Pelodiscus sinensis: one gene and its partners. The protein of the gene in region 3 interacts with the protein of the main gene of each other region in a biochemical or structural test. Links are inferred from orthologs where the notes say so. Each region holds a gene or a part of one and is shown on either strand. Other genes may lie near its edges.

Region 1 (9,813 bases), on a different chromosome or scaffold from region 3:
CTGCTGGAGACCGTCTCCAGCAGACCAGGGGCATTGGGCGGGTTCCCGCGCTTCTGAGGCTTTGCCAGAGCAAAGCCTCAGAAGCGCGGGAACCTGCCCGCTGCTGCCGCTTGAGTCCCAGTGCCTGTGGTCTGCTGGGGACGGTCCCCAGCAGACCACAGGCACCGGGACTGAAGCCGCAGCCGCGGGGGGGGGGGGGTCCCGCGCCTCTGAGACTTTGCCAGAGCAAAGCCTCAGAGGCGCGGCACCCCGCTGCCGCTGCTGCTCTGCTCCCCGTGTCCCTGGTCTGCTGGGGGGGGCGGATAGTGTGCCCCCCCCAGCAGACCAGGCTTTTGTTTTGGACCCTGGAGCAGAGCAGCTGGGGCGCTGCGGATTGGTCCTGCAGCACCCGCTCTGGGCACTACTGGACCAACCCGGCAGCACCCCAGCTGCTCTGCCCCAGGTCCTGATTCAGCCGCTGCTGGTCAGTTTCAGCAGTGGCTGAATCAGGACGCCTGGGGCAGAGCAGCTGGGGTGCTGCTGGGTTGGTCCAGTAGCGCCGAGGAGCGGTGCTACTGGAGCAACCCAGCTGCACCCCAGCTGCTCTGCCCCAGGCATCCCCAAGTCAGCCGCTGCTGAAACTGACCAGCGCTGACTACAGGAAGCCTGAGGCAGAGTTGCTCTGCCCCAGGCTTCCTGGAATCAGTGCTCATCAGTTTCAGCAGCAGCTGACTTGGGGAAGCTTGGGGTTCTTAAGTTGAATCTGTATGTAAGTCAGAACTGGCGGTCAGTTTCAGCAGCGGCTGTATCTGGACGCCAGTTCCGACTTACATACAGATTCAACTTAAGAACAAACCTACAGTCCCTATCTTGTACGTAACCCGGGGACTGCCTGTATTTACCCCATCTCCAGTGAAGTGAAAGGACTATTTTATCAAAGGTCACTTATGTTTCATTCTGTAATATGTGCATGCTTTGATTATCCAACCCCCATTCTTTCCAAAGGTCTTGGATATTTCCAGGGGAAACAGTTTTTGTACACATCATCAATTTTTATTTTTTTTAAATACTATTTATTTTAGTAATGTTAAAGATCCTGTGTTTAGGGGTGGCTTTTAACTACAAAACATGGGGGTAAGGTCTGAAAATATTTCCAGTAATGTGGTTGAGACATCCTAAGAGAAACCTCTGCAACACTAAGCAAAAACCTCACTGTTTATTTCTAGTTTCTAGCACCTTACTAACCCTTCTTTCATAAAACCACAGAACGTGTACAATGTAGCACTCTAACTATAGCAGGTCTGGGCTTAAACAATGCAACCTCAAGAGCAGAATTTGCGTGACATGGGACACCTAGTAGCTTTGAAGCAACAGGTTCTGAGAAGTTTGCTCACACCCCAAAGTCTTAGAAATGATGGATAGTGAAAGAAGCAGAGCAATTGTAGGCAGACTTATGTTGCAGAATGTAACATCCAGGGCTTTATTACTTTTACATTTAATTTTCTATTAGCAATGGGAAAATGAGACAGAATCCTGTAACCCTATGAATGTTTAATGTCTTGATAACTTTAAAATGTGATTCAACATTACTAATCCTTCAGAAATCTAAAGAAGATTAATAATCAGCCCTCTACCTCAAACCCATTTAATTATGAATAATATTTGCATTTCTATAGCACCTTTTATTCCAAAGAGCTTTGCAAATTGTGGGCCCCATTCTTCAAATGTACGCATACATTAGCAGTCCTTACATGGTAGTTCAGAGAGAGTGTGTGTGAGAAATGCAGCTACCTCTGGTGTGGAAGGCAGCAGTTACCAAGTGCACAGCATAATGCACAACTATAGACAAGAGGTGTATTTTAGACATGACACCGCTGCAATCTTTAATTTTAAATGCTAGGAGATCTTAAAGTCCGTGTACATCACAGCCCAAAGGACCTCAGATTTTAAAGTCATGTCCAAAAGAATTCACATGCTACATGGAATGTACTTTATCTCAGAAAAAAGAAGCGTTGAGTTGATATGGTTTCATTATAAATAAATAAGCAGATACTAAACATAAAAGGCAAAATTATCTCCTTTTAGATAAAAAGGAGCATATGGTAATCATTATTCCCTAACATAACAAACTGTTTGCTTTTGGGGAAAATCCATTTAAACTCAGACCAGCAGGTTAACCATGTTAGGAATATATATGGTCAGGTCAGGCATATTTCTAACAGCATTTCTCAAGTGTTTTGGGAAATCACTGAATACATTTGTTCAGTACCATGGTTTTACTGAAGATGGGTCACAACTCTCTGATTATAGACCAGACGTGCATTAAGGAGAAATCTTTGAAGCTGTTGAGAGAAATGACATTTGCCCCATGCATTTGCCACAAATAAATTAAAAGTTATTAACCTTTAATTTGAAAAGATTATCTTTTTAAGTGTACAGCCAGATAAAATTGTTACAGTGTATTAACAATTCCAATATAAACTGGCATGGGGAGAAGGGGGGGAGGATGAAAAGACAAAGCTATCATGTAACAAAGGCACATAACATTTCCTCCTTCTCCTTCTATATTGCTTTTCTCAAGTCAAAAGGTCTCTCGCTACTTACCAAGAAATTAGTAAACTGTAAATTGCAGCACAACCAGAGGAAGAAAAAGGTCTTTCTCCTAGTGTTCAGGACCTCTGGAATAGCTGAACTGTCCTATAACAGATTAAAAAGACTATATCGGTCTTTAATTGTATATGACCTCTGAGAACACAGATGTAGTTCAAACAATGTGTCTGAGATTGGTCCTCAGCTGGTTCAAATTTCTTGAATCTTTGATCCACTTCCCCTGCCTTCTTCCAACTCAGTCCAAAACACATGGTCCCCCTCCATCACTCTTCCCTGAAAGCTGTGCACTTCTGTGGCTGTTCAGGAGAGATTCCAATGCTGCTCAGTTATGCTTTTATGTTTCTACTGTTGGTGCACATTTGCACATGCTTCAGTGCACATAAAATTATTCCACATATGGACAGAATACTAGAATTGGAAGGGACCTCAAGAGGTCCAGTCCCCTGTCCTCAGAGCTGGACCAAGCACCATCTAGATCATTACTGATAGATGTCTGTCTAACCCGCTCTTAAGTATTTCCACTGATGGAGATTCCACAACCTCCCTAGGCAATTTATTCCAGTGTTTAACTACCCTGACAGTTCAGAAGTTTTTCCTAGGGTATGTGTAGACTACATGCCTCTGCCGACAGAGGCATGTAAATTAGACATACTGACATAGTCAATGAAGTGGGGATTTAAATATTCCCCGCTTCATTAGAATAAAAATGGCCACCGCGTTGTGCCGGCTTAGCTGTTTGTCGGCACAAACCGGCAGTCAAGACAGGGATCGGTCGACAAGGAAAGCCTTTGCTGACTAATCCCTTACGCCTCATAAAATGAGATTTACAGGATTGGTCGACAAAGGCTTTCCTTGTCGACTGATCCCCATCTTGACTGCTGGTTCATGCTGACAAACAGCTGAGCCAGCACAACGTGGCAGTCATTTTTATTCTAGTGAAGCGGTGGATATTTAAATCCCTGCTTCATTGACTATGTTGGTATGTCTAATTTACATGCCTCTGTCGGCAGACGCATGTAGTCTAGACATACCCCTAATGTCCAGCTTAAATCCCCCTTGCTGCAATTTAACCCATTGCTCTCCAGCCTCCTTTTTTTCTCTTGGATTTATCCCACTGATAGCTACAAGCAAGCAGATAGGATCAGAATGGAAACCGACAATGAGAAATCTGTACTGTTGTATCCCCAACACTAACAGGCTCAGACTTGGGGAAGCTGCCCTCCATTCCAGTTATACCCTGTCAGTTGTTCCTATGGGTTTCCATGACTTCCCTATGCAATGACAAAATGTGTCTGCTTTCAAAATAAAAACTGCAAAATATTAAAGAGCCAGATCCTGACATCTTTACTCCTGTTGACCACTACATTACTGTGCTGGCAATCCCAATGAATGGGTCCAGCAGGAAAATTTGCAAGAGGAGGCAGATTTGGGTCCTTGTCTCAAAGGGTACATCTACACAGCAGGACTAAAGTTGAATTAAACTACCCACTTTCAGCTATGTCAATTGCATAGCTCAAGTCAAAATAGCTTAATTTGGCTTTTGGTGCTGTCTGCACAGCAAGAAGTCAAAGGAAGAGTACTCTTCCTTCATCTTCCCTTCCTCCTTTTAAAATGAAGGTTACCATGAGTCAGAGAAAGAAGTTGACATTATTTTGAAAGAAAGGCTTGTAGTGTAGATGCACACTATGTAATTTCGGAATAACATCAGTTATTGCAAAATAACGCTGCTGTGTAGAGTACCAAAAGTATGTGTACATAGTCAACATAACACTGCTTTTTCGGCTTCTCTTTCCTATCCCTAGACATCGCAGTTAAATGTTGCCCTGTATTTTCTTCCATCAGGAAGGAAGTTTTCCTTACAGGAGCTAAATGATCTGGTTCCAGGGATCATGTGCTACGTTTAGACATGCACTTAAAAGGAGGGTGTTGCAAGATAAATGCTGTAATTAGAGAAACGAAGTCTCTTTGGAAGCTTAATCTGGCAAACAAAGTAGTTGCACCTACTGCTCTAAATATGGAATCTCGATACTATCTGCACTCACGGATCCGTACCCGCAGTAACTTGGCTAAACGTTGAAAGTAGTTAGGCAGATACGTAGCGGGCTCCTTGATTGTAACTACCTGCGTCTCAGCGATTGGCAGGGAAACTGTACAAATGCACCGTCTCCAGCGCCCCGACGTGATTTTAATTAAAGCTGAAGAACAAAGGCTAAGTAGTAGCAGGCTGTTGGCAAAGTGCCCTTGGGAGCTGTACACCAGCAGTCCCCGGGGCATCGGGCGGTGTCGGCGGGGGGCGGGCAGAGAGTATCCCGCCTCCTTCCTCCCTCTGACACGCAGCACCTAGATCTGCCCGTGCGGCTTCTCCCACGCATGGGGGGCTCTGCGGGTCCACTTCAGAGCCCCGCGGCCGCCTCGCGGTGCAAGCACACAAGGCGCAGCAGCCCTGGCTAGGGCGCGCCGAGCACCTCGCTCGCGAAGCAGCGACAGGCGTGGGGACGGGGCGTGGCGCACGCAAAACGACCCCCCCCCCCGCCCCCGAGCGAGGGTGATGAGGGAAACGGTGCGAAACCCTGCTCGGCCGCGGAATCCAGCGAAGGGGCCGAAGGGGCAGCGCGGAACGCACAGCGCCCGGGGGGGCGCGTCTGCCTCTGTCCACCACAGCGCCTGGAGCGAGCGGCCGAGACCTGGGCTGCGCGCGGCCAGAGGAGGGGGCGGTGCGGGCAGCGCGGACCGAAGTGCGGGCTCCCCCGTGAACCAGGCCAGCGCGAGGCACCCGGACCGGGCAGCAAGACCCGTTCCCCGGGCCAGACTAGCAGGAGCCCCGGCAGCCGCGCGCGCGTGTGTCCTGCTGGCAGCCCATTGGCTGGGGCTGCCTGATGTCACGACGGGCTGTTCCTATAAGCGCCCTGCCACATAACGGGCTCAGGACACTTGTAGCCAGGAGCCCGGGCCGGGCAGCGGCTGCCCAGGCTGGAGCTGCGGCAGGGCAGGGCGGGGAGGGGGCCAAGGGGAACCAGCCAATGCAAATCCCCAACCTCCAAACAACCTACCAGTGAGTCCAACTGCAGGAGTCCCCCAGCCCGGCCAAGCCGCCGCCGGCCTCTCTTGGGAGCTGCGGTGCTGGAAGCACCTAGAAGACGCATCGTGTGACTGCTGCAGGCACCAGCCGAGCACCAGCCGCCGGAGACAGCTAGCGCGTGTGGGGCTGTGCAGCGGGCAGCGGACGCCGGTTGGGACAGTCCCGGACTTGCCTGCAAAGCGCCAGCGCAGCTCGGCGGGGGTGGGACGCGGGGCCGCCGCAGGGCGCAGAGCTGTCGCCGCTGCGGGGAGGAAGCCATGGGGTCCGTGAGTCCCAGCCACGCGGGCAACGGGAGCAGCCAAGCGGGGACAGACTCCCCCAGCCTGCACCAAGACGTCTGGATGGTGGGCATGGGCATCCTGATGTCTGTGATCGTGCTGGCCATCGTCTTTGGCAATGTCCTGGTGATCACGGCCATCGCCAAGTTCCAGCGGCTGCAGACCGTCACCAACTACTTCATCACTTCCCTGGCCTGCGCCGACCTGGTGATGGGGCTGGCCGTGGTGCCCTTCGGCGCCAGCCACATCATGTTGAACCAGTGGAAGTTCGGGAACTTCTTGTGCGAGTTCTGGACCGCCGTAGACGTGCTGTGTGTCACAGCCAGCATCGAGACCCTGTGCGTCATCGCGGTGGACCGGTATTTTGCCATCACCTCCCCGTTCAAGTACCAGAGTCTCTTGACCAAAAGCAAAGCCAGGGTTGTCATCCTCGTGGTCTGGGTGGTGTCTGTTCTGACCTCCTTCTTGCCTATCCAGATGCACTGGTACAGAGCGGAGAGCCCGGAAGCCCTCGAGTGTTACAATAACGCCAGCTGCTGCCACTTCTTCACTAACCAAGCCTATGCCATCACTTCTTCCATCATCTCCTTCTACCTGCCTCTGGTGGTCATGGTCTTCGTCTACGCCAAGGTCTTCCAGGTAGCCAAGAAGCAGCTGAAGAAGATAGACAAAAGCGAAGGGAGGTTTCATAACCAGAACAACAACCAGCAGGAGCCGAACGGGAGAGCGAGTCACCGGAGAACTTCCAAGTTTTGCTTGAAGGAGCACAAAGCCCTGAAAACTTTGGGGATCATCATGGGTACCTTCACTCTATGCTGGCTGCCCTTCTTCATCGTCAACATCGTGCACGTGATACGGGACAACATCATCCCCACTTACCTCTACATCCTCTTGAACTGGGTGGGCTATGTCAATTCCGCCTTCAACCCCCTGATTTACTGCAGAAGCCCGGACTTCAGGTACGCTTTTCAGGAACTGCTGTGCCTCCGGCGAGCTGCGCTGAAGTTGCATGCCAATGGGTACTCCAACAGCTACGGGAAAAGTGACTTCCAGGAGGAGGAGGAGGACAATGGCTGTCCCCTGGGACAGGGCAAAACGTGTGAACTGCTGTGTGAAGAAGCTGGGCTGCCTGCCAGCGAGGACTTAGCGCACTGTAAAGGTACTGTGCGGAACGGTTGCGTGGAGTCCCAGGGCGTCAGGCATGGCACAACCGAGTCCGTGTTCTAGAGACGCGCTTTTACACCCTCCTCCCGCCCCCGAGTCCAATTAAAAAGGCACCAACAATGTAACGGTTCTTTGGTAGGGCCAAGGGACTAAACCTAGCAAGCTCGCTATACATATGTGGGTGTGCCCCGTTCGCGGGGGGAGGGCTTGTTTATTTGCAGGATGTACAGAATCCTCGGGCAAGGACATGTTTAGTTCCTCCCCGACTGAGGGTTATTTTAAGACTGTGGATGAGGTTCGTCCCCTGAGGAATGCGTGACTGCTGCGGTGTTCTTGTTCCTGTTTATCTACCTCATAGCTCTAGTAATAATAAGCAGGTGACCGCTGCCCTCAGACTCCAGCTGGACTCAAGTCCCTTGGTGACGTGTGGGTGTCTCACGTCAGAGGGCTGTCTGTGGAGCCTTTACTGCGGGACCACTCAGGGTTCAATTTCCCCTCCTCTGAGGAATGGAGGCTAAAGTTTACTTCTTTGTGCAGTGTCTATTGGTTTGACCTCCCTGCACCTGTCAGTGCAAAGTCCTCTCCACTGTCTAACAGTGGGATGAAGCTCTAATGGCTTCATACTAAATTCTGCTAGGAATGGCTCATCTCCCTTCCCTCCCTCCCTCCATCCCTATTAATCCCAGTTCAGATGGTCACGCTTCACAGTAGTCCAGAAATGATTTTCAATTGCCCTCCACTTGAGATCTACATTTAATTCTCACCCACACATTTTCATTACTGTGTATTATTGAAATCCCAGTGATTTAGCTATGAGAGTAATGGGTAATGTCAGCTTATGCTAAAGAAACTAACCCCACTTCTCCTTTCTAGAAGTTTCCTTGGTTAAGGATGTGTCTACACTGCAGGGTTTAACTTGAAATAAGCTATGCAAATTGAGCTACATCAATGATGTATCTTATTTTGACATAGCTTATTTTGAAATAGGGAGGGTCTACACAGCACTTATTTCCAAATATAGCACTCTTTCTCCAACTTCCCTTCCTCCTCATACAATGAAGGTTACACGCATCCAAGTAAGAAGTCCTCCAGCTTGACAATATTTTGATACTATTTTGAAATAACTGCCTGCTGTGTAGATGCGGACTAAGTTATTTCAGAATAGAGCTAGTTATTTCAAAATAGTGTTGCAGTGTAGACATACGCTAAAAGTGGGTTTATGTCCTGTACTTGGGACATAGGTAAATGTTGGCATCTAGAAGGATCTGAGCATAAATACTAGAGAATTAACAAGGATTAAGCCCATCATTGTTGGTGCTGGGTTTCTGTAGTTTACATCACCCAAACACAGGGGGCAGGGGCAACTGGACTGTTCAGCGAGAGCTGTAACATGAGTTAGCCCTTCCCTTCTGACCACAGTGAGCCTGATTCCCAGGCCACCACTCCTAGCTCTCCTGCCCTGGGGGTGACAAGCATAGCTAAGAAAGGTGGATCCGTCAGTCAGAACAGGGTCCAGCAGGTTTCAGCTCAGCAAGTAGCCCTCGAGCTGTTCCCAGTTACAGCCCTCCATCATTGGTTCAGTTTACAGAGGGACTCTAATGACATTTTAATGGAAATCTGCTGGGCAGTATTTTCCCCACTCCTAAAATTTCCCTCTTTTGCTCTTCCCATCTTTCAGAAGTGGTTATACCCGCTAACCCCAGTGCTACTGGTGTCATTCAACTGGCAGTCTGTCCTACAGCATTTTGTGTCACCTCTGAATAAGTGTCCCTCATCTCATGATGGCCAGGAACCACCATACGATGATCCAGATCACCCCATGCTGTTATAAAGTGAAATCTCCCCTCCTCCTGCTCCCACACACAGCCAATAAACCAGCACTTGAACCTGAATTTTCTTGTTGTACAAAAGAAAACAATGAAATGAATCACATGGTCAGAAATTTTCTGATGGAAAGTATGGTGCAAAGTCCTGCTTATGGAATAATCCTCTGGAACTCTACAGAACCAGCAGAGTTCTGCAGGGCTCTGAAAAGGTTCGTTTAGAATTTCCATAAAACTTTTATATGTTTAAAGGAAATGAGTTCATTTCTATAGGGATTTAGAACTGCTCTATAGAAATATATACAAGATATAGGTCTGTTAAATTTGGTAGGATGATTTATAGAAACAAATAAAAGAGTGTTCTCTATTACATTCTATAGGATTGTGTCATAAAAATAGAAAAAAACTTGGGGAATTTGGGAGAATGAAGAAGACTGATTGAAAATGTCACTGAGATGGTAGCTGGAAAGTTGTCTCTGTTGTTAAGTCACAGAAAATCATTTTAGTCAAACTTCTAGCTAAAGGTTTGTTATTTAAAATAAAATAACTTGGTTTATTTAATTCAGAGAGTGTCTGATGTCAAGAGACAATGGATATGGAAGGCTGGGTCAGTTTCCAATATTACTGTGTGTTTTTGTGGCACTGTTTTAATTTATTAGTTTTTCATGTTGTTCCTGGTTTGCAAAACTTGCTTCCCGTTGGCTGCAAGCTCCCCTGGGCTGTCAGACGGGAAGCTAATACTTAGACATAAGAGGACAGGTGCAGGCGGGAAGGAGTATAGTCAGGGGTGAGGAACTGAGAAGGAACTGTTGCTCTTCTGCCTCTCTCAATGCAGGAATTGATTAGAGAACAGGGCTCTTTCTTTAGGCTCACATGGGCA
Region 2 (9,743 bases), on a different chromosome or scaffold from region 3:
AAGTGACTAGTTGAGGGACTAGTTGACTAGTTACTTACATCCCTAGCATAGACCCAACATTAGCACAACTCCAACTGGAGCCGTAGTGCTTAAGGGGATGTATGGGCCTCTATGGCGACAGGTCACAGTTTACACAGCTCTTTCAAAACTTCCAGTGACTCATGCCCAGTATTTCCAACCCCAAATGTTACAAAACCATGTTTGTAACATTTGAGTCAGGCCCCAAAAAGTCATATGGTCTGCTGAAAAACAAAACGTGAGACTAATAATATTGGGTTCTTTTTATTTGCCTTCTGTTTGTTTAAGTCTTTAGGGCAGTGGGTTTCAAACTGTGGTACACATATCCCTAGGGGCATGGGAGCTCTTGTCAGGAGGTATGGGAGAAAAATCCTATAAAGGCAGAAACACATTATATTCAGTATAGATGTTTTCAAACTAGTATGTCATGCATTGTTAAAAATGAGCCATGAATTTGGAGTCTCTGGAGACGATCATTTTTAGTGACTGCCTTGTCTATTTTCATTATTCAAATTGGGAGTAATTAAAAATATGTGGTTTAAAAATGTTTTTGTAATTATTTGTACTTCAGAAATGCTATCGTCTTGTGTACTAATACATGGTAAAACATGTACCCTAGGCTCCAGAACTACATCCCATGAGTGTAGCTCTCCTCCCTCTTCCCTCCTCCTCTCCCCCTCCCACGGGAGCTCAGCGGAACATCTAGGGGGCAAGCAGCAATGCCAGGTAGTTCAGGCCCACCCCACACGGTGGGGCTCAGGATGGGAGCACCACCTCTACTTCCTTTACCTCAGCAGCCCACCCAGTAGTGTTCCCCATACACTGAGTGTTTGGGGAGCTACTCAGGAGAGATTCAGATGCTGCCCAGCTGATCAGCAGAGCTCCCACAGCTCAATCATTGCCAGCAACATTTGTCGATACTAGTGATACATATCCACATATGCCTCAATGCATATAACAAGATGTATTCCACGTGTGGATGGAAAGAACGAGAGGGACCACTGTCAACCAATCTGTCAGGGTAGGGGGGGTTAATAAAAAATTGTAACTAGAAGATGAAAAAAGGCAGAAATTGGGGGAGCATGTAATCCCACATTCCACCCAATGGGTCACTTCTGCCCGTCTCAGATGGGGGTACATGTAGATTGAATTATTTAGAAAGGAATACACAGCCTAGCAGGTTTGAAAAACACTACTTTAGAGTACCAAGTATGGGGGACTCGTTTCCATTCTTCTCTCTACAACTACAATCGCTAGAAACTTTCTTTTTTATAAACAATTGAAGCAAAGATTCTAATGTATTCACATGAATCCAGTAGTCAGGACTTAAGAAAAACAGCAATTATCACAATCTCCCTCCCAATGCCACTCATGGGATGTAGTTTTGGAGCTTAGGGTACATGTTTTACCATGTATTAGTGCACAAGACATTCTGAAGCACAAATAAAAACATTTTTAAACCACATATTTTTAATTACTCCCAATTTGAATAATGAAAACAGACAAGGCAGTGGCTAAAGATGATGGTCTCCAGAGACTCCAAATTGATGGCTCATTTTAACAATTCATGACATACTAATTCTCCTTTGTCCTATTACTGCAGAAATGTTAACTGCCTACTTCAATTGAAGCAGTTTCTAAGCAGTTCCTTAGCAGTCAGTCCACTTTAAATTTAGCCTCAACACGTGGATCCCCAGAGGATAAACGGAACAACCAATAGTCAGGAACGATACTGTAGGAAGCAGCCAGCTAATAATTGGGTATTGCTTTGCAAGATTCCCCAGAGAGCCACGTGCTACTTAAGGGATCTCATTTAAAAAAGAAAAAATAAACCAGGAGTTTGCTCGAGGTAGGGTAGATTTCGTTAGAAGGAACAAGTGACTGGTTCGCCTCTGCTCATTGCGTAAGTGGAAGAAACAGCTTGTTTGAAAATTGCTGACAACTTGCATCACAACTGACCTAAGCACAGGTGGCTCAGACAAGAAGCTGTGACCCAAGTAGCACATTCCCTTTTTCCATTTACTACACAGAACAACATCATGCCGGGGGCTGAAATCAGTCCCCAACGAGGCAATTCCGCACAGCAGCGAGCATCGCAGGCTCCCTATTCGCGATGGCGCTGCCGCCCCCCTGCCCTCCCACGGGCGCACAGCATCAGCCCAGCGAGCAGCGGAGGTTGGCAGCTCCACCAGCCTGCCCCCGGCTGTGCGCTCTGGCTCGTCCGGACCGCGAGAAGCGGCCTGGCGGGAGGCTAAAGGACGCGGGGCAGCCCGGCTGAGCGGGTCGCACGGGACCTGACCTAGGCTTGGAGAAGGGGGCTGGTCCCAGCGAAAGGCCCCCGGCCCCACGTGCACAGCCTGCCTCCCCCCTGCTCTGTCCGCGGTAACACTCCCCCCCCCATGTGCACAGCCTCCCCCCTGCTCTGTCCGCGGTAACACTCCCCCCCCCCACGTGCACAGCCTCCCCCCTGCTCTGTCCGCGGTAACACTCCCCCCCCCACGTGCACAGCCTCCCCCCTGCTCTGTCCGCGGTAACACTCCCCCCCCCCCACGTGCACAGCCTCCCCCCTGCTCTGTCCGCGGTAACACTCCCCCCCCCACGTGCACAGCCTCCCCCCTGCTCTGTCCGCGGTAACACTCCCCCCCCCATGTGCACAGCCTCCCCCCCTGCTCTGTCCGCGGTAACACTCCCCCCCCCATGTGCACAGCCTCCCCCCCTGCTCTGTCCGCGGTAACACTCCCCCCCCATGTGCACAGCCTCCCCCCCTGCTCTGTCCGCGGTAACACTCCCCCCCCCATGTGCACAGCCTCCCCCCCTGCTCTGTCCGCGGTAACACTCCCCCCCCCCATGTGCACAGCCTCCCCCCCTGCTCTGTCCGCGGTAACACTCCCCCCCATGTGCACAGCCTCCCCCCCTGCTCTGTCCGCGGTAACACTCCCCCCCCCCCATGTGCACAGCCTCCCCCCCTGCTCTGTCCGCGGTAACACTCCCCCCCCCATGTGCACAGCCTCCCCCCCTGCTCTGTCCGCGGTAACACTCCCCCCCCCCATGTGCACAGCCTCCCCCCCTGCTCTGTCCGCGGTAACACTCCCCCCCCCATGTGCACAGCCTCCCCCCCTGCTCTGTCCGCGGTCACACTCCCCCCCCATGTGCACAGCCTCCCCCCTGCTCTGTCCGCGGTAACACTCCCCCCCCATGTGCACAGCCTCCCCCCTGCTCTGTCCGCGGTCACACTCCCCCCCCCCATGTGCACAGCCTCCCCCCCTGCTCTGTCCGCGGTCACACTCCCCCCCCATGTGCACAGCCTCCCCCCTGCTCTGTCCGCGGTAACACTCCCCCCCATGTGCACAGCCTCCCCCCCTGCTCTGTCCGCGGTAACACTCCCCCCCCATGTGCACAGCCTCCCCCCTGCTCTGTCCGCGGTCACACCCCCCCCCCATGTGCACAGCCTCCCCCCTGCTCTGTCCGCGGTCACACTCCCCCCCCCCCATGTGCACAGCCTCCCCCCCTGCTCTGTCCGCGGTCACACTCCCCCCCCCCATGTGCACAGCCTCCCCCCTGCTCTGTCCGCGGTCACACTCCCCCCCCCCCATGTGCACAGCCTCCCCCCCTGCTCTGTCCGCGGTCACACTCCCCCCCCCCATGTGCACAGCCTCCCCCCTGCTCTGTCCGCGGTCACACTCCCCCCCGCCAGCCCGGCCGGCAGCTCCTGCCCGGCTCTGTCCAGCGCGTGCCCGGGAGGGAGCCTGAGCCCCTGAGCGGACCCTGGGCGCGGGGCGAGCTCCTGTGCGCGCCTGGCTCCGACGCCTGCTCCTGGCGGCCCGAGCAGCCCGCGGGCCGGGGACTCACCAGAAGAAGAGCCGGGAGCAGAGGTTGGCCGCCTGCAGGGGGTTGGGCTTCTTCTCCCGCCGCGGCGCCTCCATCCCCTGCTGTCACCTGCAGCCGCCGCTCAGTGCCCGGCCCGCAGCATGCAGCTGCCGGCAGCCGCCGCCTCCCCAGCCCGGCGCCGCTTCCGGGAAACCTGACACCCAGCCCCGGCGCCCTCGCACGGCCGGAGTCCGCCAGCAGCCGCCGGGGCCAGGCATCGCCCGGGCACGATCCCCGCGAAGCGCTGCCCCGGGACGTGGCAAGAGACGTGCTGGAGCGTGGGCGGTCAGCGCCGGGAGACCTACCGCCCGCCGGCAGGGGGGCTCGGGCCTGGCCTTCAGTGCGAGCAGGATTTCAATAAGCCTCCTTTCTTCCAGCTCCCGCACACGCGAGCCCCCTCCTGGCTCCGGCTACAGCTGCCCAGCTCCCCTGAGGGGCCGCAATGTTTGCAGGATTTGCGCCTTAGAAAGTTAACGGGAAGCCACAGGAGGCCAGCTCCATGGGGGCAACGACCTTAGATCAGTGGGGTTATAATCTTTCATAGGTGCCCCTGGAACTGACTGGATAAAGTATCAGTCTCTGTAGTTGTGGATTGAAGTCCCATCTTGGTTGTCTTTATATCATGTTTTCTGACAGGAGGTGGAAATGGGCACCAAGGGAGGCTTAGGTTGGACATTAGGAAAAACTTCTTAATTGTCAGGGGACATCTATGCTAGGAAGTTAGTTTGAAATAACTAGATTCAAAATAACTCCTGAAAGAACTGTTTCGAGATAGCTTATTCCCCAAGAAAAGAACTAAAAACTAGTTTGAATTAGCATTTTGCTAATTCGAACTAGCATGTCCACATTAAGTGGACCCTGAACCAAGGTTAAGGATGGCCGGAAGCAGTGCCGGCAGGGCATCAGAGGAGGACTTAGAGTGTGGAGATGCTGTCTCAGGCTAGCCGAGGGCTGTGCTTAAAGGGTCCCGACCCCCACCCCGGAAAGACAGTTCTCAGGGGTGCCCCGCTTGCAAAGCAGTCCTGGCTTGGAGTGCCCGGAGTACCCACACTAGGCACATCACACCACTCAGCCATCAGCTCAGCTGCACTTGCCACAGGCTGCCATCTGGGGAGAGGGGGCAATTGGGAGGCTGCAGGAGAGCTTCCACCTCCAGAAGCCCACAGAGCCAGCCCAGTCCTCCCCATCAGGGGCTCATGCCCCATTCCTCCCTCACCTCCTTCCACTTACCCTTCCCTAGCCCCTCTTCTTGATGTACAAAATAAAGATAACATGTCTTCCAAAATGGAATCTGTCTTTATTGAACAAAACTGGGGGAGACTGGGAAAAGGAGGTGGGTTAGGGGAAGAGAGAGGCTGGGAGAGGGGAGGGCAACTAAAATGATCAGGGGTTGGGAACAGGTCCCATATGAAGAGAGGCTAAAGAGACTGGGACTTTTCAGCTTAGAAAAGAGGAGACGGAGGGGGGACAGGATAGAAGTCTCTAAAAACAGGAGTTGGGTGGAGAGGGTGCATACAGAAAAGTTTTTCATTAGTTCCCATAAAGAAGGACTAAAGGACACCAAAGGAAAGGGATGGGTAGCAGGCTTCAAACTAGTAACAGAAAGTTGTTCTTCACAAAGCAAAGAGTCAACCTGTGGAACTCCTTGCTGCAGGAGGCTGTGAAGGCTAGAACTGGAACAGAGTTTAAAGGGAAGTGAGATCAAGTCATGGAGGCTGGGTCCATGGAGTGCTATTAGCCAGGGGGTAGGAGTGGTGTCCCTGGCCAAGGTTTGTGGAAGGCTGGAGAGGGATGGCACGAGACAAATGGCTTGGTCACTGTCTTCGGTCCATCCCCTCCAGAGTCCCTAGGGTTGGCCGCTGTCGGCAGACAGGCTACTGGGCTAGATGGACCTTTGGTCTGACCCAGGACGGCCATTGTAAGCTCAGGGCTCAGGGACGGGGGTCTCACTGGACCCCCTTGATTCTCTTGCACACCTGCTCCTGGGTGGCCAGGCTGGCAGCTCTCCTGCCCTAGACGGCCACTTTCCTGTGCCTAGTGCGGAAATCGTGGACAAGGTCCAGACATACCCTGGATCACTGGAATAAATTGCTTAGAGAAGTTATGGAATCTCTATGTAGTCTTCTATGATTCTTTCTTTTGCAGGCCTCTAAAATTGTGAATAGAGCTAGGGCTTTTTTGGAAATCTTAGACATAGTCTGTGGACCTTCCCTGTTGGAAACCACTGCCTTAGCCTGGCAGCTCCTTAGGGGAAGCATAGTTTTCCTACATGTTTGTACAGCACCTAGCCCCTCTTTGCACTACTAAAATACAAATAAGCACTAATTAGATTTTGATGGACAGTTGCAGGTTACCTACCAGCCCTGTGCTCCTGGAGAGCCAGGGAGTGACATTCATGGAAAACCATCCTTCCCCTTCTCCTAGGTTTGCTAGAATCAGACAAAGCAATGAAAAGGCCAGGGAAGATACACCTAAACTAATTAAGGAAACACCCCAGCCTCATCTGCATTGAAGATAGAACAGAGGGACATCTTATTAGCATACAGAATGGAGACCAGCTCTTCCAAAGCAGAACCGCACTGAACTATGGGATACCAAAAGCAGAGAAGCACTGCCTGATGGGAAATCTCTGCTCCAGATGCTAATGAAGCCAGGCCTGCTCACACCCCAATTAGTCATTATCAGACCAATTCTAGTAATGGAACCTATTGACATCCAAAATATTGAAACTGCCTAGTTGCATTGTGAGTTTGTTCAAGGAACATCATCCATAACCAGGGATGATCAGTCTCTATTGTCCCGCCTCTTTTTCTCTTTGAACTATTGTCCTATCCCTATAAAAACTCCTACCCTGTCCCAAGAAAAACTGTTCTGACACCTGGATTTAAACTGAATCAGTTCCATTGAGAATTCATCATCTCCTGTCTGATCGTGCTGGGGGCTCTGCTCTGCTTATCTCCTGCCCTCTAGACCCCCAGCTTCTATCACCATCTGGGAATTCCGATCAGTGCATGCTCCACGGAGTGGTAAGGTCTCTCTCTCTCTCCCTTCCTCACCCCCAACTGCCTCTCTAAGCATAGTCTCCTGACCCTGACCTATGTAAACTGTTATATGGTTACCAAACATTTGTAATCAGTTTCAATTTAGATTTAATATTGTAACTGTTTCATATCTATTCACTACCCAGAAAAATAACTTTCATTGTTAAGCTGTTTGCTTCTCTCTCTTTCTTTCTCTTTCACTTACTCTTCCTCAAGGGGTGTTGTTTTGGCTTCCCCATTCACTCTGCAACAACACTTCTTGCACCCAAGCTAAAGATCCCTGTAGTGCCCAAAATCCTGTGGGGTTTGCTCATCGTGTGGTTTACCAGTGAATTACTGTGGTGTGAAAGTGGGGTTAGGGGGTGCTGAACCTGGAGGCTTATGAGTATGGCAGCTTAAAGTGCTGTTTAATCCAGCGAACTGAGTTTAAAGGCTCATGATGGTGCAGTGTAGCATTGCTGTTAACCCATCCTGCTGAATCCAGGGACATATGAGGGGTCAGCTTGTGAGTGCTGAGTACCCAGTCCTCTCAGACATGCTCTGGTAGTGGGTGTGAGTGTCTGTGTGTGTTGCTAAGGTGGGAAGAATCCCATCCTGAGGAACCTAGTTCCTTCAGGAGAGCTCCAGTGGGAGGGGGAATTGACAACAGGGAGAGAATTCAGCTCCATATGAGAGCACAAGCAGCACACTGATAGAATTGATAGAATTCCCCAGTCCCATAAGAGTAACCCTAATAAATGAGCATACCCCATAGTATTGGGCAAATCTAGTAACAAGATGGAAAGCACCCACCTCCCTCATACTTAAAGGTATCCACTAGACTTTAAAAATTATAAATAAGATAAATATAACTGCTTATTACTTCTGAAACATTTTATTTAAGCTTTCCTCCAGGTACTATCAGAAAAAAAAATTATTCCCAAATCTCAGTTCAAGTCCCTCATTAATTGCTGTGATAAACTTTGTGTGATTTGGATGGCACATAAATAAAGACTTTATAGTCTGAATGTGCAAGAGTAAAACACAGTTTTGAAATTGATTGTCCTACAAGATATATCAAGAACAGCTTGTGCCAAACAGAACTTCTTTAAACAACTTTAAAGTGTGAATTAAGTTCATCCTCACAATGACTTTTATAACCATAATATGGTATAGCTAAGCCTCTTTATTTTCAGTTTTTATTTTACTTCGTTTTCCCCAGGAATTTATCAGTGTTTATTACCAGAACAACACAAACAGGTGAAAATCAGTGCAAAAAAACTTTTCTGGATAAACATTGAAGGGCTGGATGGAAAGATGGGGGGAAAGTATGCAGTAAATGAATGCTATGAATTTGAATTAATGCTTTGAATTTTAGAAAAGACTGTACCCTTTCCATTGTTTGGCAGCAGGCTTACAGAAGAAGATGAGGAATCTGTTCGTTGGGTCAGGGTTGAAATCAGAACCTTACATCTAAAACAAAAATTGAACTTGCATTTTTGGTATACTTGGAATATTTGAGAGTTTCAGAACTGAATACCAGAGAATGTGAAATCAGTGACTGCAATATCTGTACGTTCTTAATTCTTTTGCTGAATGTGGATTGATGGGTTCTTTGGAGCTTTTATCTTCTGGAAACTTAGACATTCTGATTGTCTCCAACTCTCCTGGTGTATTTGCTCCCCTAGTCATACCTTTATGTGATCAGATGGACTGAAGTGAATGAAGCATCACTGAATGAGAGATTTGTCTTCTGTTGCTGAAATGTCCAACCCTTGCAGAGTTTTGGACAGACTGCTTACCATGTTTAGGACTTTGGACCTCGAATGTCTGGGTGATCCAGAGATGTTTTAAAGATGTGTTTGAAAAGACATCTTTAGGAAATGGCAGGAGACTATGTATTCAACTATGCACCAAGGCCTTGCCACATCATTCTGCCATCTTTTTAAATAGGCACTAAGCACAGATTATGAGCCCACTTTGGCAGAGATGGATCTGTGACATATTTTCCACCCATGCTCTGTAAATAGGAACTGTCAATCCAAGTGGGGGTCATATCTCTCCCCATTTGAGAGTTAGTATGTTTTATATTTGAGAGTTAGTATGTTTTATATTTTTATCCTCTTCTCTAAGAAATCCAGAGCTTGCTTTTCCTGTATTTATTAAAATTTAAATAAATTTTAAAAATTTTAGGGCCTTGCATGTATAAATTAATCCAATGACATATGAAGACATACATTTCCTCTTCTGAACCACTGCCCTGGGGGCTCTGCATGATGCCAAGTTTCCTTTACATACATGTGTATAAAAAGTCCTAGTTGTTTTAGAGGGTGACATGTAGGGGATTCTTCTATTTATCAATGACACATTGCTTACGGAAATGGCACGCTCATTGACAGAACTTTAGAAGTTTCTGTCCTTTTAGCTAGTGTTTTTTCTGCTTTCCCCACCATACTCAGAGACTATTTATCAACTAAAAGAAAAACCCTGATAGACACAGAATCTAAGATGCAGAATATATAATATCAACTGCTTCTCTGACTCCATGATCCTCTGAGCAAAAAAAATTACTTGTCCATATACCTTCTCCCTCTTCCTTCTTTTGTTTTCAGTCTCTCAAGGCTTTGTTCTGAGCCATCAGGGTTCACTCTCTCTCCTAACTCTTGTGCTTTTTATTTCATTTTAAAATATAATACAAAGATATCTATACAAGGCTCTCAGTGCCCTAGTATAATTAAAGCAAATGTTTGAAATAAAAAAGTCACATTGCACAAGTTTAAAGGAAAGGCTGTCTACATCTGGGATTACAGAAAATTACAAGTTTTGTCAGAAAGTCAC
Region 3 (10,620 bases):
AATTACCTATTAGAGTTACTGGGCTGTTGTGGTTTTGGGGTTTTTTTTGGTAGGTATATGCTTAAAAAAACCAAAAAGGCCCAGGTCCTGTGGGAACTGAGGCACGGAAGGAAAGTCAATTTTGTTGACCCCCCTGGGTACAAAAGCTATGTCTACACTGCAGACACCGAGCACAGCAATATTGGCAAGAGGTTGATCTCTGATTGGCATAGCTATGCTGCTCAAGGTCTGTAATGTAGACACAATGACACTGGCAAAACTGTGCCGATACCAGTGTAGCTTGTTTCACATGGGCGGTATGGTACTGATGCAAAGCACAGCTTTGCTGATTGAGCTGTGTCTGTGTCCACACTAGGAATGCATTGCTGGTCTAGCACATCAGTTTTCCTACACCAGTAAAGTGCTCCCACTGTGGACAAGATGTAACTCACACTGAGGCCAGGAGGACGGCTGGAGTTACAGGGTCTAGCAGGACCTGGCTCAAGCCGGTCACACTGGCTATTATGCTCTGCCAGATGAGAAGAGACTTTTGTAGGAATAAATATTCCAGGAGCACGAGCCTTGTCACAGGAGGTCTCTGTAATTTATTAGTATCATCTAGGGCAATGCCCTGACGATGCTTAATTAGACCATAGATGGGAGGGTTGACTTAACACTGAAATGCTTTAACTAATAATTAATGCTCCAGGGAGGAAGCACAAATGTTGTTTGCCAAACCAATGCTGGAGTTAGACTGTAGAACAGCATGACTGTGTCTTTCACAACTGTGTCACTTTCTGATCTGTCCATTACTTGCAGGTTGTATTTTTTATTACGATGTTTGAATTTGCTATGTCCTATGCACAGTTCTCAGAGCTTCACATGAGCCTGAGCAGTTCTCTGGAGACAGAGGGTCCTGTTCTTTGTTTCCCCTTGACCCTTCTTATTTTGAAATCTCAGGAATGCTTTCTTCACAGGGTGCAAGTCTGTTACCTCCCCTTGTGCTCTGCCAGAGATTGGCATCACCGATTTCACCTCAGCTTTGCGTCTGTGCCCCACAAGAAAGCAGGATTGTGTGGGGAGTTGAAATGGCATCACATCATTATACTAGGCTATGTAAGATGCTGTAGGGCTGTCTCAAAAGGTAGCACTTCATTTGTAAGGCTAAGGCCTGGTCCAGATTTAGGCTTTGAATCAGAGCAGAGGTGATCACACAGGAGATTCATAAACTCCCAGCTTTGAATTTTGTTTGCATTTCCTTTTTGTCTACGTATATAATGCAAATCTTTCTCCCTGCCCTTGTCAGGTATCAGATTAAACCCACTCGGCAAAGAAATGATGCCTCATTCAGCCACCTCACTCAGCAAACACTTTGTATTGTGCTTGCCTCTGAATTTTGTGGGCTTCACCCTGACTCCACCAAAATCAATGGGAGTTTTGCCACTGAGATTAATGGGAGCAGGATCAGACCCTGTATGTTCTAAAATCAGCACTGCTGCGCGTTGCTTCATTTTACCCTTCCTTTAGACCTGCTTCTCCTGCCATCCATATCAAAACTCCCATTACATTTGCTGGGAGTAGGATCAAATCCTTTGTCAGTAAAATCAAAGTCACCCTAGTATCACATGTTATCACACTAGCAGGAAGCAATGACAGGAAAAAAACCCAAAATATTTTTCTTGACAATCTTCTTTACACAATTCACGAGGATCTGGCAAGTCTAGTTCCACCACAAGTGCTATGGAATGACACTGCACTACCATTCCATATGGGAATTTCTTAGAAGTCGCAGGATCATACACAGCAAGTCCATTCTCTGGCAGTCGTAGCTTCTCTCTCTATTATCATGGGACTCCTTTGCCTCTTCTATTGTTCACGGTTTATTGTTTGCAAGTTACAGAATTAAATCTCAGTATTTTGGAGAGCAAATGTGTCCACCTAGTTCTTGGCCCAAGCAATTTCCAATTCTTTAGAGAAGAGAGAGGGTGTTGCTGGCTGGGTATCTGCAATGCAATATTTGCTGGGCATTAAATAAGTACAGCACAAGCCCTGGAATTTCTGGTGTGCGTCTGCCTAGCCCCTGTGACTTCACTGCACATTTCAGAAGTCCAAAGGTGATGGGGAAGAGTAAATATGGTCTGTTAAATTAAAACCAACCTCCTCCCCCTGCTGTTCTCATGGTACAGAGTCTAACATTCCCCAAATACCTTTGTCTTCCCACCAATGGAATTGCTTCTGTAGCTAAGCTGATGCTTGCAAAAAAGAGAGAGAGTTAGTTGGCTTTTTCTTTTAAATTCTTTTCGGTTTTGCATCCTAAATTTTGATCTTTCTTAACCTACTAAGCAGCTGCTGAAAAAAAAAACTCCACACTGACTGGGAGAAACCAGGAAGATTAAGATACTTGCAGCCAAATAAACATTAGGAAAGCTGTCACATTCTGCTTTATCATCAGTGCTCAAAGTTCCTGAACTGCGGGGTATGTGGTGTGTTTCTTTCCCTCCCTCTGGTGAATTTCACCTCCCTCCCTCTGTGCCTTTCTAAACCCTCCCCTGCCAGAACTGACTTGTATTTCATGGCTTATAAAAAGATTCCTGAAAAGCACATTTTTTGCTTGAAGAATTCCTTCAAATTGCACTACTTTTCAAGAAGCTGTCTGTCATGTTTGCAAAGCATGTGTTGTGGCTGGGTCTCATCTTTGGTAGCCTACTGGGACTGCTGAGTTACTCACCTAGCTATAAAGAAACTTAAAACTTTTTCTAGTTCCAGACTAACTCGGCTACCCTTCTCTAGCTATAGAGGTCCATTCTACAGGATCAACATCGTAGGTTTTAAACCCACCGCTGATAAACTTTAAAAAGGAGATAATTACCCATTGTGATTCCCAAGACTCCTTATAAGGCCTTTATTTCCACTCTGAAAAATACTCTTACTTCATAAAGGGCTCTCCTTAGAACTAAATTGGCTCTTTAGTCCTGTACCTGCCTTCTTGCAGTGAAATGCAAAGAAGATGGTCCACTTCCCTAAGGACATTGAGTTCATCCTGCTGGAATTGAAACTAGCAGTGATAGGGCACAGACAGGTCCGCATAAGTCCACTTTGCTGGATTTCCCAGTTGACATTGTCACTTTAGCTCTGTGTCTCTGTAATTCTGTTAAGCATAGTAATTGTATAAACCAGGGGTGGGGAACCTTTTTGGGACAGGAGCCACTAACCCACAGAAAAATCAATCGGGCTGCACAACTCCCCCCCCCCCCCCATTGACATGGCCCCTGACTGAGAAGACACCCACATTCCTCTCACACACCAGCGTTGGGGGTGGGAACAAGCCAAGTAGATTTTGTGTGCTCCAGCCCTGTAGTGGGGCCAGAGTGTCAGAACCAGCTCCCCAATGCAGGGGCCGGATTCAGGCAAGCCAGGGACTGCATCTCGCCATTCCCGATCTCTGGTATAAACCAACTGTAGGGGGCTTCATAAAAGCTTCCATCTATTCCACAGGAGCTTCTGTCCTTGCATTTTAAATTATGCTGAAGTTGTGGTAGTTTAGCAGACGACAGTGTTCATATATGATGGAAAAAGGGTCCCCAAAACTGACAAAAAACTAGTTTTAATTTGCATTTTAATTCCTTTAAGAAAACTGTTAGAGTTTTTTCTGCCTCTCTGTTTTAGCTCAGAGGGATTTTTGACCAGGCCTCAGAACAAAAGTAAAACCACCAGAGGTGCTCAGACTGTTCACTTTCACTTTTCGCTCTGCTGTTATACAGGGCAGGGCCTGGGGGTGGGATGAGGCATCACCAGAACAGGAAACCTGAGGGTGCACAACTGGTGTCAAATGCACAAAGTAAATGTATGGGAGGAGGGGGAATGTCTAATTTGACTCTTGTTTCAAGTGCTCATAGGGGTTACAAGCAATGTTCCCTGTAATCTTTTCCATCCCCATGCAGAGTTTTTTCCAGCCATGTGTGGAATAAATTTGTATGTGCACCACAGCGTGTATAAATGTGCACCATCAGGAGAAACACAAACCTAGCAGTGAGCGCTCTGCTTATCAGCTTAATGGCATTTGAATCTCTCCTGAGTGGCCACACAAGGGCCCAGCTTACTGGGAACACTGGTTACAAGTTACAATAGTAAGTGCAGCATTTTCAGATCTGAATGGCATTTTTTAAGTTGACTGTCCCTTCAAATGTTCTCTTTTAACATGTTAGACTCAATTAAATAGTGAGGATGCTGAGAAATGCTATGGTTCATCATTGCAAGATTTCTGCATTCTGTTACCTTCACAGTTAAGGAAAGAGTAAATGAAGTCTTATGGGGTATCATGTGCAAGGGACAGTCCATTGTAGATTCTTAAATGTATCCCCTGAATAATATAGTCTCAACAAAAAGCTGCTGCTCCCTTTTATCCTGCAAAATAAAACTGCTTTTATATTGAACAGTGTTATACTTAGTGTTTATCATAAAGATGATGCTGAGTTCTGTAAATGGCTCTCTCCTGATGCTGTTTGGAGTGGGTTTTACTTACACAGGCAGCACTAACCTCACACAGCTCTGCGGTTTCCACAAAGCCAAATTATGGATGAATAGACAAAGTCCAACTAGCAGAGTTGCAAAGGGAAATTCACGGGAACCTGATCTGGAATTTTGAGAAAGAGAGAAAAGTTCCCAGAACCTGCCCTGGCACCCATACAACCTTTACCAAAGGGGGGAAAGTCCCGTGATCTGTAAAGCTGTCAAACCACATGCAGAAACAGACTAGTGCCCTCTGCTATGACAGCACCAGCTCAGAGGCTATTCAGAGTCCATCTTCTCTCCCCAATTTTACTAAGGAATTTAGCATCTGATATGTCTCAACCCACATGATTCCTGTTGCTTTAGTAAATACACAATTCGATTGCTTCTGGTGGCCTAGATTCAGATCTGTTTTTTGTTACCCATTGTTCTCCTGTTCAAAAAATGCAGCCATCCAATCAGAGAGCAACCATGTGACCGAAGTGAAACCCCATCCTACACCCCGGAGAGTAATTAGTCAAAGACAGAATTAAAGCAGATCCCTCACGAACAGCCCATCAGCCTGAAAGCGGTTCACAGAAAGGGTGCTGTGAACTGGAGTAATGAATTGAATGGGTGAATAGGACCCAGCAGTTGTACCAGAGCGTTCTAAACCCGAAAGGATGGCTCTAATTGCAATTAATATGATTAGCAATCCCACCAGTTCCTAATGCGTGTAAAGCCCCAAACTACCAAGCTACTCGGTCACCGCCTTCAGTCCGATCGAGAGCCACTTGAACACAGCGCTGCTGGCAGACGCTCCTGGGAGAAAGGACTTGTCAGTTGCCAGTAAGCAGCTTGGGGTGTGTCATTGAGAAACAAGGATAAGTCAATGAGTCAACCCGCCCTCCCTTCATCACAGCAAGTCTTCCGGGACCAACATTCTGCCCCCCCGAGGAAGTCGCGGCAGCGCTCAGCTGGAGGCAGGCTGCAGGCTGGATGACTCAAGGCGCCCCACGCCTGCTTCTCTTAGACGCCTTGTCTCTGGGGGAACGAAGTGCCCCAGCCCTTCTGGAGAATCTTCGCTCTTGCGACTTCGGGCCACTTCTGCTTCCGGAGAGCTCAATTTGCACGCGGGAGGCTGAGCAGCCTGTCAAAAAACGTGGGGAAAGCGGAGGAGCGCGGGGGGGGGGGGGGGGGGGGAAGCGAGCCTCTTTCCTCTTATTTGCATAACCCCGCCTTCTCGAGGTTTGGATCCACTCTCGCACTTCACGAGCCGGGTCAGCGCCCCTCAGCTCCTCCCTCGCCTAACTCCGATTGGTCCGGCGTCACCTCCCAGCCCCCTCTTGCCCGCCCCCTGCTATAAAGGGCGGTGACAGGCGCTGAACTCAGACAGAGAGCGGGGCGGGGATTCGGGCGCTGCGCTGTGGTTGTCTCCCTGCTGGTGCGCGCTCTCTCCTCGGGCCAGACCCCGCCCCGGGGACACCTGCTGCCCGGAACCTCCCTGGGCTTTCCGGGTGTCTTCGCCCGGCGCTGGAGCGATCCGCCCGCGTCCTAGCGGGGCTGCGGCGGGCTCCTCTGATCCCTTTCCCCGCTCCCCCGGGAAGATGAGTGACGGGGCAGGGAGCGAGCAGCAGCTGCTGCCCCGGCTCTGCTGCCTGGAGAAGGGGCCGAACGGCTACGGCTTCCACTTGCACGGGGAGAAGGGCAAGGTGGGCCAGTTCATCCGGCTGGTGGAGCCCAACTCCCCGGCCCAGGCGGCGGGGCTGCGGGCCGGGGACCGGCTGGTGGAGGTGAACGGCGAGAACGTGGAGAAGGAAAGTCACCAGCAGGTAGTGAACCGCATCCGATCCGCCGTGGGCGCCGTGCGCCTGCTGGTGGTGGACGCGGAGACCGACCAGCAGCTGCAGAAGCTGGGCATCCAGTGCCGCGAGGAGCTGGTCCGGGGGCTGCCCGCCGCGGGGCAGGAGAAGCCGGAGGAGAAAAGTAACGAGGAGCCGCTGGAGACACCGAAGGAGCAGGAGGAGCGGCCAGAGGAGGAGGAGGAGGAGACGAGCCACCCTGCGGCGAGGGTAAATGTAGGTTCTTTCTGGGGAGGAGGGCGAGCCTTGGGGTCTAAGGGCGAACTGGAGCGGGAGAAGTAAAGGAGGCGGGAGACCGCCACGGTGCTCTGTGTGTGTGTGTGTGTGTGTGTGTGTGTGTGTGTGTGTGTGAATTAGGCAGAAGGGTGAAGAGTTCGTGCAGGTTGGGGCTAGGAGGGACAGGTTCTCAAGTAGCTCGAACTTTAACTGAAGTGCCCCTTTTAAAGAAAGGCCAACTTTGAAATCTAGCCTGTTAAGTAATAAGAATCTCAAGCATTCCATTGGCCCATGAAGCACTCTTCCTGTTGCTTTTTTACAAGCACACTTTCCAGTCTTTTCTTAAAAGTTTTGGGAAAGCAGTGGTAGACATGAAAATGAAGGGCAAATGAGAAAAAACAATAATGGAAGCAGAAGAATCCAGGCTACATACCATCCTCGAGGCTTAAACGTCTCTCTCCTGCTGCCACATGATAGAGGCAAACGGGAAACTGAAAGTCACTATTCAAAGTTCGTGGGAGTATTCAGGGGTCCTGGTCCTTGACTGGGTCCCCTCTTGTGCGAGGTGCTGCACAAAGTAAACAAGTGTGTGTGGGGGGCCGGGAAGGGGGGTGTTAAACTTTCCCTAGCTCACTTTTTTCATAGAAGGGTAAGGCTTTTGTTTGCCCCTCTTAAGCATCTTCTCTTGCCAGTAACCACTAGGACTGCATGGTGCCATGTTGCTGTAGTTGGGATATTTGAAATAAGATTACTTTTCAACAGAATCCACTTTCCTCTCAAGCATTGCAGTGAAAGTGGTGTAATTACTCTTACAGATATGGATGAGAGTCATGGTCGAACAACGCAAGGACTATTGCCTTCTCGGTGCTCATAGGACACTAATGCCACCCTTGCGTGCATGTATGGATGTGAAACTGAATGCTTCTCCTGCTTGTTAGAATTGTGTAGCTCTTAGTTGGTGGGGAGGCAAAAGAGATCAGCATCTCTGTTATGATGAGATGGGTTATTTGTCCAGGGCCCTCTAACTAGATCCTCAGGCATCCCAAAGTTAATTCAAATTTCTGTGGGCTTAGAGTCCTAGATTAGGGTTGAAAGACCTATAGAAGATCATCTAGTCCAACCCCAACTAAATGAATGTCGTAGGTTGTCATAGATCAGAAAGAACCAGTAGCTGGTGGCTAATTAGGAGGTGGGGAGCTAGTAGAGCTGCATTATCCTCTTTTAAATCTCGCTCGTTCTTTTTTGCTGTGATATGGTGGGTTTTTTTTTTTTTCCTTTTAAAAAAGGTGCAACCCCTCCCAAAAACCCTTGACAGTGGTCAGGCTGCTGGTGTGCTCTGACCAGTTTTTCATACTGACCGGTATCTTGTTTTGTTCGCTGCTCTATCCAATTAAAGATTGTAGTAAATTCTTCAGGGCAGGGATTCTGTCATTCTGCAGTGTCCTGAACAATGGGAGCTGGACCTCTCGGTGCTACTGACAGAAAACGATTAAAAACTAAATAAAAGGGATGGGGAACTTTGATTCATGCTGACTTAAGTCTTGGGTAAATGTGGAGGGGGAGAAGGGACTCTGGAACTGAGACTCAGCATCCTTTACTTACTTGGGGTAGTTACTAATAGAGGCTCTGCCTTCATGACCTAATGAATATTTATTTATATAATCAAAAATATGTACCTTGTTGTGAAGACTTCATGTTTTCACCCATCGGTGGTCCTCAAAGCTGAGTTCTCTTACTTAGGAAGGGAGAGATGAAAAATCTGAACTCTTGAAAGAAGCAGGGTCACTCCTTTATGATCAGCATAAACTTTCCATGTATACAATTCTGTAGCTGCCATAGTGGGTGCATTATTCATCAGAGCTTAAGGGTGAGAGGTGAGCCTGAAGAAGAGAACTGAAGGCTTAATTATCAAACAAAGATGTAAATAGGCCAAAATGGCTCAAAGTGAGAGTTTGAACTCTCAATAGAACGGTGTTGGTCCGATGTCCCAAAGAAGCTCCACTCCCCAACTTCAGTAAATTGAAGTCTCAGGTGCAAACACTATTTTTCTGAGTTCCAGCTCTGAACCTCTAATGCTCTAAAGCCTGGTTTTTTTTTTTTTTTGGGGGGGGGGGGTCACCTATCAGTTTGTGTTAATACAAGAAAACAACCTGTAGCGGGGGTAGGATCTAGAGAGGTGCTGTGAACTTTAGACTTGGACTCTGTAAAAGAGCAATCCCAATTACAGGCAGGGTGTTAGCTGGTGTGAGGAGGAGGAGCAGGGTGCCCTTAAGGAGATAAGTGAGGACAATGGATGGACTTTGGTGTCTGCGCTGAGTTAACATTCTTACTGATTTCTGCTAAGGAGTGTTAATTCTGCAACTTCTCCCTCTATTGGACTTTAGTCTGCAGCTAGAACACATGTTCCCCTTTGGCCGCTCTGCTGGGAGGTAGCCTGCCAACTGCACAGACTGATGGGAAAATACCAGGTCATTGGAGCAGATGTGCTGATAGCAGGATTTTGTACTCCTCAGTTTCCCACAAAGGAGCCTGACAGGGCTGAAGTGGCTTTGGCCAGGGAGTGAGAGTCCCTTTGACTGGGGATGGGGGCAACAAAATTTTTGGTTCATCTTTCATCTCACCCCATTAAAATGAGAGGAGTCTTCTCTTGATGACCCTTGGGAGAGGAAGAAAGAAGAACACTGATGCAATTTGCCCTTTCTATAGGGGACAGAAATCTGGCGTTCCCTCCCACTGATCTTTACTATGTTGCAGCCATATCAGTCAAGTGGCCTCACTGCCATGATGTAAAGATCTTGTTATGTGCCCAGAGCCTTAGGGAGCTCTGAGTCCTGGTTGCTTTGGGACAAACATATTGTACCCTCCCTAATGCAGGCACAGCTCGGGCTTTACATTCAGGACAGTTAAAGCCACATGTCAGAATGAATTCTAATGATAGGAAGGAAAACCCAGCTGTGCTGCCAGATTCCATCAGTAGGGGTCTGTCAGACTGTTTTGCCACCTTGCCATGTGCTTTTAAAGATTCTCTGACACATTCTGGCCTGCATAGGGATGGCTTATTTTATGGACTATGGCAACAAATTATGCCAATCAGAGTTAGTTTGAGATAGGAACTTCTTATCAGGGAGGAATGGAGATTTGTTTTTGTGATGTGGGGGTGTGTTGCCCTGGTTTTCCACCACACCCTTGAATGCGTTGGGTGGAGGAGCAGGCACATGTCTTGTGTGCAGGGAGAGATAGGATCAACTGTTGTTGTGCTTCAAATAAGGGTCTTCCTAGGGAGTAATTGCCTCCCTAGCAGGATTTAAATCCTCTGATGCTTAAGGGCCATTCTCTGGTTTTGTGCAGTCCTTAGCAGAGGCACATTCTTTCCTGTCTTCTTCAAAGTACTGGAGTGAAGAAAATTAGGGGGCATCCTTTGAGTGAATCCTGTTTAACTTGTGTGTGAGATTACTGTGTGTCGGTCCGTTCCAAAGGCAGCCAGCTCTGCGTGAACCATTGTACCCTAATCCGTACTGCTTGCAGGGCTTGATCGTCCTGCAGAGTTACCAAAGCTGATAGGTTCCTCTGGATGTTTGTTTTGGGGGGGGGTGTGTGGGGGGGGGGGGAGGGTGTCCACTTAGCTCCTCATACTAGTGGGGGGGAAAGGGACAAATAATTGTGCTGTATATGATCTCTTTGCCCATAGCTCAGCATACCCGGAAGGCCCTGGTATGGCTAAATTATCTGTAGCGCTTTGAGGCTCTTGGATGAAAATCCTGTGTGAGCATCAAAATTATGCTGAGCCCTGAGGTCATTACTGTAGCACCCCGCTATGGATTAGAGCTCAGCTCTCAATGGATACAGCAGCATGACAAGACGAAGGGCGTTCATGAGTTACTTGATCTATATGGCAGAAGAACATTAACAGGGTGCAGGGAATGTATGGTCACCCACCAGGGATTCCACCTCTCCAGATAGTCACAGCCAGCTTTGAGTTACAAGGCTCCTTTTATTAGGAACTAGCGCTCCTTGTTCGGGCCATGAAGCTCCTGGTATCTTTTCCTCCTCTGCCCGGTCTCAGACCTAGCTGTGT

What was found.
Region 1: the proteins of NHERF1 (region 3) and ADRB2 form a complex in vitro, tested with the Homo sapiens proteins (3 studies listed by BioGRID and IntAct, with this or other methods). The link is inferred for Pelodiscus sinensis from reciprocal best matches to the Homo sapiens genes NHERF1 and ADRB2.
Region 2: the proteins of NHERF1 (region 3) and ABCC4 form a complex in vitro, tested with the Homo sapiens proteins (3 studies listed by BioGRID and IntAct, with this or other methods). The link is inferred for Pelodiscus sinensis from reciprocal best matches to the Homo sapiens genes NHERF1 and ABCC4.

What each region holds. Positions count from the first base shown.
Region 1 is NC_134727.1:17,035,768-17,045,580, reverse strand, and holds the start of ADRB2 (beta-2 adrenergic receptor), read left to right. Parts: upstream 1-5,533; 5' UTR 5,534-5,925; coding exon 5,926-7,105; intron 7,106-8,788; coding exon 8,789-8,874; 3' UTR 8,875-9,813. UniProt on the Homo sapiens protein: Beta-adrenergic receptors mediate the catecholamine-induced activation of adenylate cyclase through the action of G proteins. The beta-2-adrenergic receptor binds epinephrine with an approximately 30-fold greater affinity than it does norepinephrine.
Region 2 is NC_134711.1:251,543,371-251,553,113, reverse strand, and holds the start of ABCC4 (ATP-binding cassette sub-family C member 4), read right to left. Parts: upstream 4,341-9,743; 5' UTR 3,942-4,340; coding exon 3,868-3,941; intron 1-3,867. UniProt on the Homo sapiens protein: ATP-dependent transporter of the ATP-binding cassette (ABC) family that actively extrudes physiological compounds and xenobiotics from cells.
Region 3 is NC_134730.1:13,339,860-13,350,479, reverse strand, and holds the start of NHERF1 (Na(+)/H(+) exchange regulatory cofactor NHE-RF1), read left to right. Parts: upstream 1-5,843; 5' UTR 5,844-6,074; coding exon 6,075-6,545; intron 6,546-10,620. UniProt on the Homo sapiens protein: Scaffold protein that connects plasma membrane proteins with members of the ezrin/moesin/radixin family and thereby helps to link them to the actin cytoskeleton and to regulate their surface expression. Necessary for recycling of internalized ADRB2.